Oryctolagus cuniculus: one gene and its partners. The protein of the gene in region 3 interacts with the protein of the main gene of each other region in a biochemical or structural test. Links are inferred from orthologs where the notes say so. Each region holds a gene or a part of one and is shown on either strand. Other genes may lie near its edges.

What was found. The genes of interacting proteins can lie anywhere in the genome.
Region 1: the proteins of ERBIN (region 3) and SCN4A interact in a test that uses a peptide from one of them, tested with the Homo sapiens proteins (2 studies listed by BioGRID and IntAct). The link is inferred for Oryctolagus cuniculus from reciprocal best matches to the Homo sapiens genes ERBIN and SCN4A.
Region 2: the proteins of ERBIN (region 3) and MAPK12 interact in a test that uses a peptide from one of them, tested with the Homo sapiens proteins (2 studies listed by BioGRID and IntAct). The link is inferred for Oryctolagus cuniculus from reciprocal best matches to the Homo sapiens genes ERBIN and MAPK12.

What each region holds. Positions count from the first base shown.
Region 1 is NC_091448.1:14,800,588-14,804,781, reverse strand, and holds part of SCN4A (sodium channel protein type 4 subunit alpha), read right to left. Parts: intron 3,772-4,194; coding exon 3,680-3,771; intron 2,157-3,679; coding exon 1,875-2,156; intron 1,240-1,874; coding exon 1,176-1,239; intron 944-1,175; coding exon 802-943; intron 86-801; coding exon 1-85. UniProt on the Homo sapiens protein: Pore-forming subunit of Nav1.4, a voltage-gated sodium (Nav) channel that directly mediates the depolarizing phase of action potentials in excitable membranes.
Region 2 is NC_091442.1:123,206,456-123,209,464, forward strand, and holds part of MAPK12 (mitogen-activated protein kinase 12), read right to left. Parts: intron 2,837-3,009; coding exon 2,778-2,836; intron 1,843-2,777; coding exon 1,731-1,842; intron 1,644-1,730; coding exon 1,614-1,643; intron 1,360-1,613; coding exon 1,312-1,359; intron 902-1,311; coding exon 787-901; intron 620-786; coding exon 548-619; intron 451-547; coding exon 371-450; intron 301-370; coding exon 222-300; intron 143-221; coding exon 1-142. UniProt on the Homo sapiens protein: Serine/threonine kinase which acts as an essential component of the MAP kinase signal transduction pathway.
Region 3 is NC_091445.1:86,864,705-86,869,671, reverse strand, and holds the start of ERBIN (erbin), read right to left. Parts: upstream 3,260-4,967; 5' UTR 2,998-3,259; intron 2,967-2,997; exon of another isoform or gene 2,793-2,966; coding exon of another isoform or gene 2,790-2,792; intron 2,429-2,789; 5' UTR 2,323-2,428; coding exon 2,317-2,322; intron 1-2,316. UniProt on the Homo sapiens protein: Acts as an adapter for the receptor ERBB2, in epithelia. By binding the unphosphorylated 'Tyr-1248' of receptor ERBB2, it may contribute to stabilize this unphosphorylated state.

The DNA.
Region 1 (4,194 bases), on a different chromosome or scaffold from region 3:
GGATCAGGTTGATGAGGTAGAAGGAGCCCAGGAAGATGATGACGACGAAGAAGATCATGTAGGTCTTGCCAGCTGCTCGCAGGGTCTGGGAGTTGGGGGAGAAGCAGGGGAGAGGACCTGTGGTACCCGCAGCCCCTTCTCATACCTCCAATTAGGAGGCCCCTGAGGCGGGATGTGGTCATCCTGGGCAGGCCACGCCACGTCCCAGGGAACTTAAAATACTTCCAAAAGTCCGTGGCAAACAGCATGAAAAGATAACCCGATTTTGGTGCAGAAAAACAGTTTTAAATCCATACATTTTTACAATGTGCATTTTCCATGAACTTTTTGAAGTTTGTAGTTCAAATTTTTTTGTATTTGGAAATGTCTTGAATTGTAGACTTTATGACATAAATACTATGTAAATGCTTGTCATGCTGATTGCTTAGGGACGAATGAGAAGGAAATCGGCCTGGACGTGTTTGGCACGGTACTTTTCCCCCTCCAACAGTCTGATCCACGGTGATCGGGTCAGTGCACGCGGACCCCACACGGGCGGAGGCCGGCTGTACCTGCACGTGGGCAGGGGTGAATTTCCCAGCTGCCCTGCTGGTTTCCGTGAGGCCCAGGGTTTCCTGGACCCAAGCCTGTGCCAGGCCCAGACCTCAGCTCTTAAGGTGAGGAAGGCTGTGGCCCAGCTCTGGACAGGTGCTCAGGGTTCCCAGAAGCTGCAGGGGCACCTATGGTCCTACAGAGCAGATGGCTATGCTGGGGTCACCTGTGGCCTGCAGGGTGGAGGGGTGGGGGCAGGGGAGGCTGTACCAGCTGGAAGAGGTTCTCCCAGTAGTCCTGTGTCATGAGGCGGAAGAGCGCCAGGAAGGCCCAGCTGAAGGTGTCGTAGCTGGTGTAGCCATAGTTGGGGTTTCGCCCAGCCTTGATGCACTCGTAACCCTCGGGGCAGTGCCTGGGGACAGGATGGGGGGCAGAGAGCTGTAGCTGGGAGACATGTGTGCGACCCCAGAGGGGGGAACCCTCAGTCCCACCTATGTCCCCAGTCTGGAAAGTAGTCCTTCCACGTCCGTGGGTTTTCCCTGACTCCCGTCCAGCCCAAGTCCCAGTCCCTGATCATCTCCCATCCCCCATCTTCCAAGACCTGGGACGCCCCTCTTCCCTGCTGCCTCCCCAGCATCACTCACCCCGCGTCACTGCTGTTCCCACAGAGCAGGGCGTCGTTGGCGCCCTCCAGGAAGTAGAAGTTCCCTTTGGAAGTCGAATGCCACAAAGGAGGCGTGTCACCCGCGCAGGCACACTGCGGGCACACGCACCCACTGCACACCCGTGCGCCATGTACCCCAAATAGGTGTCCTCTGGGCGCCCCTCCCCCTCCCATAATGACAGCTCCAGGTTCTAAGGTCTCCGCACAAGAGATGGGGAGGGAGCTCTGGCCCAAACAGTGGCAGCTCAGCGCGAGTGTGGGTGTCCAGTGAGGACGCACGGAGCCAGAAGGGACCCGTATGTGTCTGCCTCAGGCTACCAAGCCCTGATTTCAGTGTGAATTGGGGCTGGCTTCCAGAAGGGGCACCACTGTCCCAGCTGCACGGAGGCACTGTGGGGAGGACGCGTGGCTGTGTGGGAGTGTGTGTCTCACGTGTGTGCCTGTGCAGGCTGCATGTGCCAATAGGGCATCTCCAGGTGGTGCCTGCCGGGGGTCTGCCAGGGTGTGAGCACATCGTGTGATGCAGACAAGGGGAGACCGAGTGACTTGTCAGAGGTGACACAAGCTGACAAGGGACAGATCTCAGCTCAGGTCCTCGCCAGGCTATGTGCGTCACGAGAAGCTGTGGCAGGGGCTGGGACAGGCCCCCCGCCTCGCCTGCCCACCTGTCCACTCTTACCTTCGTCGTTGATGTAGGCGTCCCAGTCAAAGGTGTAGTTGCTGGCCCAGCTCTCGCGGCCGTCGTCCCACGTGTCGTTGCCGTACCATGTGTCGTTGCCATACCACGTGGTGTTGGTGTCGTTGAAGGGCGGGGGCCAGCGTACACACTTCTGCCGCAGGTTCCCCATGAAGAGCTGCAGCCCCACCAGGGCGAAGACGCTCAGGCAGAACACGGTAAGGATCATTACATCTGACAGCTTCTTCACGGACTGGATCAGGGCGCCCACGATCGTCTTCAGCCCTGGGGAGGGCACCAGTGTGGGCAGCGGGTGGGGCAGGGTGGCCATCCCCCCGAGCCCGTGCCTGCTCTTATGGCTCAGCGGGCTGCGCTGTGTGCTCAGTTCAGCCCCCACAGAGCGGTTTCTGCTCAGTCTGCATTTTTATTTGTTTGAAAAATTCATTTATTTGAGGGAGCCAGCGTTGTGGCATAGTAGATTAAGCTTCTAGGGGCTGGCGCTGTGGTGCAGTGGGTTAATGCCCTGGCCTGAAGCGCCGGCATCCCATATGAGTGCTGGTTCAAGACCCGGCTGCTCCACTGCCCATCCAGCTCTCTGCTATGGCCTGGGAAAGCAGTAGAAGATGGCCCAGGTCCTTGGGCCCCTGCACCTGCGTGGGAGACCCGGAAGAAGCTCCTGGCTCCTGGCTTCGGATTGGCACAGCTTCGGCCGATGTGGCCAATTGGGGAGTGAACCATTGGATGGAAGACCTCTCTCTCTCTCTCCCTCTCCTTTTCTCTCTGTGTAACTCTGACTTTCAAATAAATAAATCTTAAAAAAAAAAATGCTTTTGCCTGTGATGCCAACATCCCATATAAGCATCGGTTCAAGACCCGGCTGCTCTACTTCTGATCCAGCTCCCTGCTGGTGCACCTGGCAAAGCAGTGGAAGATGGCCCACGTGCCTGGGCCCCTGCACCCGTGTGGGAGACCCAGAGGAAGCTCCAGGCTCCTGGCTTCAGCTTGGCTGTTGCAGCCATTTGGGCAGTGAACCAGCAGATGAAAGATCGCGCGCTCTCTCTCTCTCTCTCTCCCCTCCCCTCTCTGTAACTACCTTTCAAACAAATTAAAAAAAAATCATTTATTTGAGAGGCAGAGAGCGAGGAGGGACAGAGAAGGTGCTTCCATCTGCTTGTTCATTCCCTAAATGCCTGAAACGGCTGGGAATGGGCCAGGCTGAAACTGGAAGCCGGAAGCTCCCCCCAGCTCTCTCACATGGGTGGCAGGAACCCAGTTTCCTGAGCCATCACGGCTGCCTCCCAGGTCTGTATTAGCAGGAAGGTGGAGTCAGGAGCCAGAACCAGGTGTGGAACCCAGGACTCCAGCGTGGCACACGGGCGTTGACTGTGAGGCTAACTCTGTTATGTGTCACATCCCTTGTGCCGGGCCCTCCTTCAAAGTCCCTAACCTCAAAGTAACCCACTGGGTGGTACTACTACCATCCACGTTTCACAGATGGGGCAACTGAGGCACAGCAAGTCAAACACTTGCCCAAGGTCACAGACGGGTGCAAGGGAGAGTTGAACCCAAGCAGTCTGGCTCCACCACCTTGCTAAGCTGTGGGGAAACACCCAGCTCCCACCGAGGGCCCTTCCTGCTCTCCGGCTGTGCCAGCCCCCTGTGGTCCAGGCCGTGGGGAGAGCCTTACACACAGCCCAGCAGAGTCATAACCCTGGCGCAGGCTCCTGGAACTCGAGTGCTAGGTTCCAGGTGTGAGCAAGGGGCAGGTCTGTTGGTCCAGGCAGAGGGTCCCTGTGTCACCCCAGTACCTGGGATGACCGTGATGGTTTTCAGGGCCCGCAGCACCCGGAAAGTCCTCAGGGCTGAGATGTTGCCCAAGTCCACGAACTCCGTCAGGTACCTGGGGCGGGGTTGGGGGGAGGGCTGTGTCAGAGCCAGGGGAGATGGGAGGGCTGAAATTGGGGCTCCCCCAGGCCCACAGTGAGGATTCTCAAGGAGTCCTTGCAGTTGGGGTCACCATGGGGGACTGGGGCAGGTCTTACACCCCTACAGTTCCTAGGGGAGCCCCAGAGTTGGGAAGTAGAGTGACAGAGCTTTGCTGCTGGGGAGTGGGGGTGGCCAGGATGGCGCTGCCCAGATAGGTGAGGGCCTACAGGACATGGCTCAGGCTGCCTGCTGTGGTTCTCCATGCAACACAGAGAGGCTCCGAGCCGGGCCCTGGGAACAGCAGCTCCTACAGTTGCACAGTTCACTATCTGCACAACTGACCTGGGCGCCCCTCCCGCCTCGTCTACCCTCCACATCTCGAAGGCCCCTCTGAGAG
Region 2 (3,009 bases), on a different chromosome or scaffold from region 3:
TCAAAGGAGTCGTCGTACTTCTGGGCTGTGGGCTCGTCCTCCGTGTCGTGCAGGGACTCGAAGTAGGGGTGGGCCAGCGCCTCGGCCGCTGTCACCCGCTGGTCCCCGTCCAGCACCAGCATCTTCTCCAGGAGGTTCACGGCTGGAGGGGCAGCGGGTCAGGCCGGCAGAGGCGGGCCTGCGCCCCAGCCCCGAGACCGCCCCGCTGCCCCCCGCCCTACCCAGAGGGCTTGCGTTGGTCACCACGGAGGCAAAGTCCTTCCTCTCACACTCGGGGAGGCCCTGCATGTACTGCTTGGCCTGCCAGGGAAGACAGGGTGAGGGGCAGCCCCCAGGCCAGCTGGCCTCACCCGCCCAGCTCCATACGGACATCAGCGCTCCGCAGCTTTTGCACGAAGTCGGCCGGAGGCGTCCCTGTCACCTTCATGATCTCCTTCAGCTGGTCCAGGTCTGCACTGGGGTTCAGGAGCACGACAGGGGACAGGGAGCAGGAGCCACACCCACCTCCTCCGGCCCCGCCCGCCAGGCAGCCCACGACTGAGGATACGGTCACTGCCCTTGAACAGCGTCTTCCCCGTAATCATCTCCGCCATGATGCAGCCCACCGACCAGATGTCCACTGAGACGAGACCCCATCAGCACCCGGGGTGGAGGAAGGGGCTGTAGCACAGGCCCACGCCCTCACCCGGCTCCGCCAGAACACACAGCTTTTGGGGGGCGGGGCCTCCACCATGGAGCGAAGCGGTGTGGTCTGGGAGGCCCCCGTGTCCCTGGGTGGCCTCTTACCTGTCTGTGTGTAGTGCATCCAGTTCAGGATGACCTCGGGGGCCCGGTACCACCGGGTCACCACATAGCCAGTCATCTCACTGTCAGCCTGCCTGGCCAGGCCAAAGTCCAGGATCTGTGGGAAGAATCAGAGAGATGGGACTAAGAGGACCCCTAAGGGATGCACAGGCCAGCCATGGTCCGGGAGACCCCCAGGGGGCTGGGCCCAAGGCAGCAAGCACCACCCCAGGGTCCCTCCCTGGGAGTACCCGGGAGCTCTGGCCCTGGACTCCTCTCCCTGCTCTGCCAACCCCTGCCCGTCTTCCTGGAGGCCTCCTCAGCCCCGCCCTGGGTCAGGCATGGGGACTGGGAACACCTCCCACGCTCGCCCTGACGCAGGTATGGGGGCGTCGTGCCCGATGCCACCCCCTCAGGGACCACCCAGGGCCCATTCGCCCACCAGCTAGCTGCTCAGCCCCTGCCCAGGTGCCAGGCTGGGGGCAGATGGTGAGGGAGCCCCCCCCCCCAGGCCCCTGGCCCTCGCACCTTCAGCTCACAGTCCTCATTCACTGCCAGGTTGCCGGGCTTCAGGTCCTGCAGGCAGAGGACAGGTGGCCACTGCGAGGCCCGACGTTGGACGGCACCCACACAGGGGCCGCCAGGCCCGACCCAGCCTCCCTGGCCCTTGCAGCCCGTCCAGGAGAGCAGAGGTGCCTGGGTCCCCAGGACACGTTCCCAGCAGCAATGCATGGGGTGTCGTGTGCACCACGCCAAGCCCACCGCACCCCCTCACGGGTGAGCAGTGGAGACGGGACTGGGCCCCTCTGGAGGCCGTAGCCAGGACTCACCCTGTGGATGACGCCAGCAGCGTGGATGTACTGCAGACAGAGGGGTCAGCAGGGGTCAGCGTCCCAGGGCCTCAGGGCCACAGAGCCTCCCCGCCCTGCTCTGCCCGGGTGCCCCACCTTCAGCCCCTTCAGCATCTGGTACACCAGGAACTGGATGCGGTCCTCACTCAGCTTCTCGTGCTTCATGAGCTTGCCCAGGTCGGTGCCCATGAACGGCATCACCAGGTAACTGGAAGTGGGGCTGGGATGCAGTCACCCGCCAGGGCCGGGCCCTGGAGCCGGGGGTCCCACCCGATGGGCTCAGGCTCAGACCTGGAGGACTCTGCCCGACAGATGCCCCTCAGAAGGTGACCCTCAGCACCTGGTCCCCGCTGGCTTCGGTCGAGTCCTCTCTTCCCCGACCTCCCTGTCGCTCCCAGCAATGACCCCGCCTCCCCCCAGACATCCCACCCAGCCTACCCTGAATGTCACCCACTGTGGGGCTCCTGATTTCTCGTCTAAAAGGCACAGTGTTGAAGACAAGGGGGCAGGAAGCTTCACACACAGGGGCCGGGGAAGGACGAGATGGGTGGTGGCCAGAGGGGTGGGCTGGGCAGGCCGAGGGAGGGAAGTCACCACTTAGCACCCCAGGAGACGCTGAGGCCTCGGGGACCCACCCTTGGCATGTCAGGCAACAGGGAGCCCGCTGCCCTCCGCAGCCCTCCGCAGGCCTGGCCCTGCTCCCAGCTGAGAACAACGTGAGCCGGAAGCAGCCTGGTCAGTGCTAGGCCGGGATGGCCGCTCCCTGCCACCTCTCCTCCACCCACCGGCAAAGGTCAGCAGCTCCAGTTACAGGCCACACGCCTGGTGCCTGGGGCCAGAGCACGGGACCAGCCTGTTAACAGGGTTCACACCTCCAGCACCGGCGATGGCCCAGGTGCTGCGGGTGGAGGGAGGAGGAGGCCCGGGCTGTGTCTGGGTGTTCCAGTGCCCAAGGGTCCCAGGAACATGTTGGGAGGGGGTGTGGAGTGGCCTGGGTCCGGACACAGAGTGAACAGGGTGTATCCCAGCGCCCGTCACCATGGCTGTGGGGAAAGGCCCCCTGCCGACCCAGAACCTAACGCTGGTGCCCAGGAGCCAGCCAGTGCCCTACTGGCCTGCCCGGCCAGCCCAGCCAGCACTCACAAGTCTGTGAAGTCGTCCAGGGTCTCGTCTGGGGTGAACACGTCCAGCAGGCCGATCACCTGGGGGAGAGCCAGAGCGCCAGGTGGGGGAGGGTGCAGCAGAGGATGCAAGGGCTCGGTGGTGCCGCACAGTGGGCAGGACCCCCCCGCAGCTGGCCTCGTCTCCCCACTGGCTCAGCCCTGGCACCTTCACCCATGCACGGTTATTTTTGGGTGGTGACAGCTGGGATGCT
Region 3 (4,967 bases):
TACCTGCTGTGCCACAGTCCCAGCCCCTGCTCCACTTTCAATCCAGCTCTCTGCTATGGCCTGGGAAAACAGTAGGAAATGGCCTAAGTGCTTGGGCCCTTGTACCATGTGGGCGACTGGAAAGAAACTCCTGGCTCCTGGCTTCTGATCAGCCCAACTCTGGTTATTGCAGCCATTTAGGGAGTGAAAGAGCAGATGGGAGATCTCGCTTTCTCTGCCTGTGCCTCTCTGTAACTCTGTTTTACAAACAAAATAGAGGGGGCCGGCGCTGTGACATAGCAAGCCACCTCTGCAGTACTGGCTGTGATCCCATATGGGCGCCAGTTCGAGTCCCAGCTGCTCCACTTCTGATCCAGCTCTCTGCTTTGGCCTGGGAAATCAGAAGATGGCCCAAGACATTGGGCCCCTGCACCTATGTGGGAGACTCAGAAGAAGCTCCCTGTCAGTATGCCTGGGAAAGCATTAGAGGATGTCCCAAGTCCTTGGACTACACCAGAGTGGGAGACCTGGAAGAAGATCCTGGCTCCTGGCTTCAGATCAGTCCAGCTCTAGCCACTGCAGCCATTTGGGGAGTGAACCAGTGGATGGAAGACTTCTCTGCCTCTCTGTAATTTTACCTTTCAAATAAATAAAATCTTTGAAAAATGAAAAAAGAAGCTATCATTTATTACCAATACTTCAACATCATCAAGGTCAAAAGTAACTGAATTTTAGTGATTTACCAATGATACGTCTCTATAGTCATCACTTAATTAACAGCACACAATGAAAATCTGGCTCCCATATTTGAACCTCTGTAAGCTTTTTATACATAAATTTTTGTTACAGTTTAACCTCAAGCGGCAAAGTGATTCTGTAACTTAGTACTTTGAATTGGTGGAAGTTCTGAAAACTCATGATTACCTTCAACAAACATATCTTTTAAATTGTATTCTGTGCAAATAAGTAAACACATAATTTATCCTAAGAAAGTCTATACAACACTAAGAATACCCAGATCCTGAAGTCACTTAAAATATTTTAACTGACTGCTTTTCTAAACATCTCTTCAAACCTCACATTTTAAACAAAATTTTGGAATATACAGTTCAACAGTGCAAAACCTAAAATTTAGTCTGTTAATGCTAAGTAACAGAATTTTAAGTAAACCACAAAGAAAGTTATGCATCATTAAGAGGTAAAAAGGAACCAAAGATAATTACAAAAGTTAACACCTCATTTTTAAAAATGTGTTGCCTGCCTGCAAACATACCATTCTTCTCCAGGAGGAGGGGGGAAACCAAGAACTTTATCAAAAATCAGGTGTTTAGTCATTATCAGGTGCTACAATAATTTTTACATAAAATTTATGAACACAAATACCTTTGTAAAGTGGTAATTCTGGGTCAAACTTGCTCTATTATGGCTTTGTTGCTCTGAGGCCAAGTATGAACCATATAAGGAAACTGAAGTTCAATGTCATTTATTTTGTTCCATTCTTTCAGATGCCCAACAACAACCTCCTTTGCTGCCTAATACATGGTCTGAATTCATAAAGTAGATCAGCTGTGCACTTTAAATTCCTTGATAAGGCTAATTTGGCTTAAAAGGAATTATATGATGGTTCACAATTAAAAAAAAAAAACAGAAATCACACTCTCAGAAAAAAAAAAAAAACAAAGCAATACAGTTAAAAGTCTCCCATTTTGAAAAGTACTTTTAAAAGACGAAGTAGCAAATATCAAGTTGTGAAATAATTTGATCCTGATTTTAAAATTTACCTTTTCTCTCTGAACGGAAGTCAGCTCTTTCTCCTGGGGTTTACAGTAATTACTTTGCTAGTATTTGATAAACTAGGCATCGATTTATATTAAAATGATTCCACAGATGATCATATTTTCTTAGCATTTACTCACAAATACAATATTTTTTCACTACCTTTACCACAAAAGTACTGGGGAAAAAAATAAACTTAAGACACTAAAACGCCGCTGAAAGCAGGGAGTGGGTTTGCCATGACCCAAACGCGTTGACTCTAGGAAGTCTACCCATTGGCTCAGGGGTGTTCAGAGCTCTGCCTGCTGCTAGTAGGTCTGTCACGCTTCACGGAGTCCTGCCCCACACTAAGTTCCTCTCCCTTATTAGGCCGAACCGAACGAAACATTTGGGCCAACACAAAAATCTAAATATCCTAGTATTCAAAGGCACAGCTTTTTTTATATCCCAATCAGTGTGGTTCCCAAGAAAATCTTTGAAGCGTTTTACTTCCCTCCCTACATAGTCAGTGCTGACCTGCACGGCAGTCCGAGCAAATCAAGCTGCGTTTTAATTACACACCTTCATCTGTAATCCTCACTCCCTCCTTCTCCATCCTAATGGTTCAGTCACAAGAAAAGTCTAGCAGACGCTTGCTTTCAATTAATGAAGGAAATATTTTAGGAGTCAACACCTGAAAAGGACAAGTTAACACACGTGAAAAAAAAAAAAAACATTACCTGCCCTGAAAACTAAAGCTGGCAAAAAGTTGCTTGTCCCTAAAATCCAATAAACTAGACGCAACAAGGCTCTGAACCAAAAACAGTCTCTGCGCGATGAACTCCAAAGCCAAAACCATCGCTATCAGCACAAACAAACGCGGCAGCCATCTCAACAGCCGCAAATCGACGGAACTTTCCTCCCAACCAAGTCGCCAGACAGGAGCTTCGCACACCTCGCAGAGGCTCCAGAAAACGAAAACTTCTGGAGCTCGCGCTCAACAAAGGCACTCTTTCTCCAGGCGGCCCAAACTTCCCGTCCCACTGCATTCTTACCATCGCTTCTACACAAACCACAGCCCAGATGGCAGACCGGGGCTTAAAAAACAAAACAAAACAAAACACACACAGCTCTCCCACTTCACCACCTAGAACACTGTGCGCTCCGATCCGAGCAAAGAACTGACGGAAACTTGGGCAAAAGGATCGCCCCTTTTCCGGTCCGTGCACTGTGTGTCTTCCAGACGCTTCTCGCGAAAATTACCTTTCGGCCGGACGGCGTCTCAGGGCTGCTTTTTCCAGGCTTCGCTGCCCATGATTCCCTCGCCCGCGTTAGTCACTTCGCATCCAGCCGAGTCTCTCCGGTGAGAACGGATGTGCAGCGGCCGCCCGCAGCAGCAGAGTAGGCTGCCCGGGTGGGGGTTGGGATGCGGGCTGGCTTCCTGGTCTCGAGTTTGCAGGAGTTTCCCAGCCCCAACTAGGATCTCCGCCGAGAGGAGGAGGAAAAAAAAAAAAAAAAAAAAAAACTTTTTCACTCGTGACACCGCCCGGAATTGCCGTGCGAAACTCACTTCCTGCCTCGGCGCAAGGCAGGAGCCAGCTCCGTCCAGGGGAACCCGGAACCCCAGCGCGCGCGCCGCGGAGGGGGAGGGGAGGCGCCGTCGGCCGGGCCCCGCGCGCCCCGCGCCCCCGACGGCGGCGGCGGCGGCCGAGACGCCGCCCGGGCGCTCGGCGGGCCGCGGCCGCGCTAGGCCGGCCCTGCTCCTCGCCGCCGCCCCCAGAGCCGAGCGGCCGGTTATTGTCTCGCTAGCGCCTGCCGCGCCCTTCGCCCGCGCCGCCGCCGCCGCCCGGAGCCGAGGGGCCGGGCAGGCTCGATGGCGGCGCCCTCGTCGGGCCGGCCGTCCTTCTGTCCGTTCCTCGCAGCGTTCCCTGCTCGCCCGCCTCTCGCTTTCCCGCCGCCGCGCCGCCACTCCCCTGCTGCTGCTTCTTCCCCGGCGGCGGCGGCGGCGGCCGCACGGGGCGCGGGGCTGGGGTGGGCGGCAGCCCGGTCCTCCTCACGAGTTCGCGGGGCCGCGGCGGGGGCCGAGGCTGCGTCCCGCGCCGCCGCGCCACCTTCGCTCGGGCGAGAGACGGCGAGGGGAGGGGCCCGGCGGGAGGGAGCGGAGAGCGACGAGGAGGAGGAGGAGGAGGAGGAGGAGTGGGGCTGGGGCGCAGGGGAGTGACCGCCGCGCAGGCCGCGGCGGAGGCTACGGCGCCACCGCCCCGCCGGCGAGGGGGGAGAGGCTGCGCGCGGCCGCGCGGCGGAGGGGGCGGGGCGGCCTCCCGCGGGCTGCGCCCCAACCGCCCACAGCCGGGCCGGAGGCCGGCGCGAGCCAGTCAGCGCGCGCGCGCGCGCGGGGGCCGCGCGGCCGACGTCGGCGGCGGGGGGCGGCGGGGCCTGGGGGGAGGGGCCCCGCCGTCCGCGGGTTCGCGTGCCGGGCGCGGCGTGAGGCCCGCTCGGGCGCCGGTCCCCGGGGGCCTGCCTGCGGGCTCCGTGACCCCCCGCGCACGCCGGCTCCCCAGCCCGTGGCGAACGCAGACGACGCCGCCGACCTCGGCCCGGGAACGCAGAGCCCTCAGGCCGCCGCCGCCGCGCTGGCCGGTTGAGTTTCTTTGTACACAGCGGCCGGTGCGCCGGGGGCTGTTCGAGTCCAGCCCCGATTTGCAGGCAGCAGGTATCCGCTGCGGCCGCTGCACTCCAACTTCTTGTAATGGCACGCTCGGGTTGCAAGCCGCCGCCGCAGCGGCCCAGCCGAGCTTCCCACGCCAGCCCTCGCTCGCTCGCTGGCCCCGCCGCGCAGCTGGGGCTCCTCCAGGGTTCGGCCTCGCACCGGCGCGGAGACAAAGCTGGCGCTGGCCGGGGGAAAATGGCCCGCGAAATTGCCTCGAGCTCGCGCCTTTGTTAGAAGAAACGCCGGCTGCCCTCTGAAGGCGACGCAGGCTCCCCAGCCCAGTGGTTTCGGTGGCGCAGCGGTTGGCTTGCGCTGGCCCTCGTAATTCATCCTGGCGGCTTTTGCGTTTAGAGAGAGACTCTTTAGCGTCCTGTCAACACATACGGCATAGAGAGCGTGAGCCATAATATTGCACAGTTGTTGCAGTTGCCGCATTAAATATGTTGACAGACGGCCTTGTTTTACCCGGAGGAGGAGCGGAATGGGTACGGGGAGACCTTCCCTCCACCCCCGCCTCTGCTCT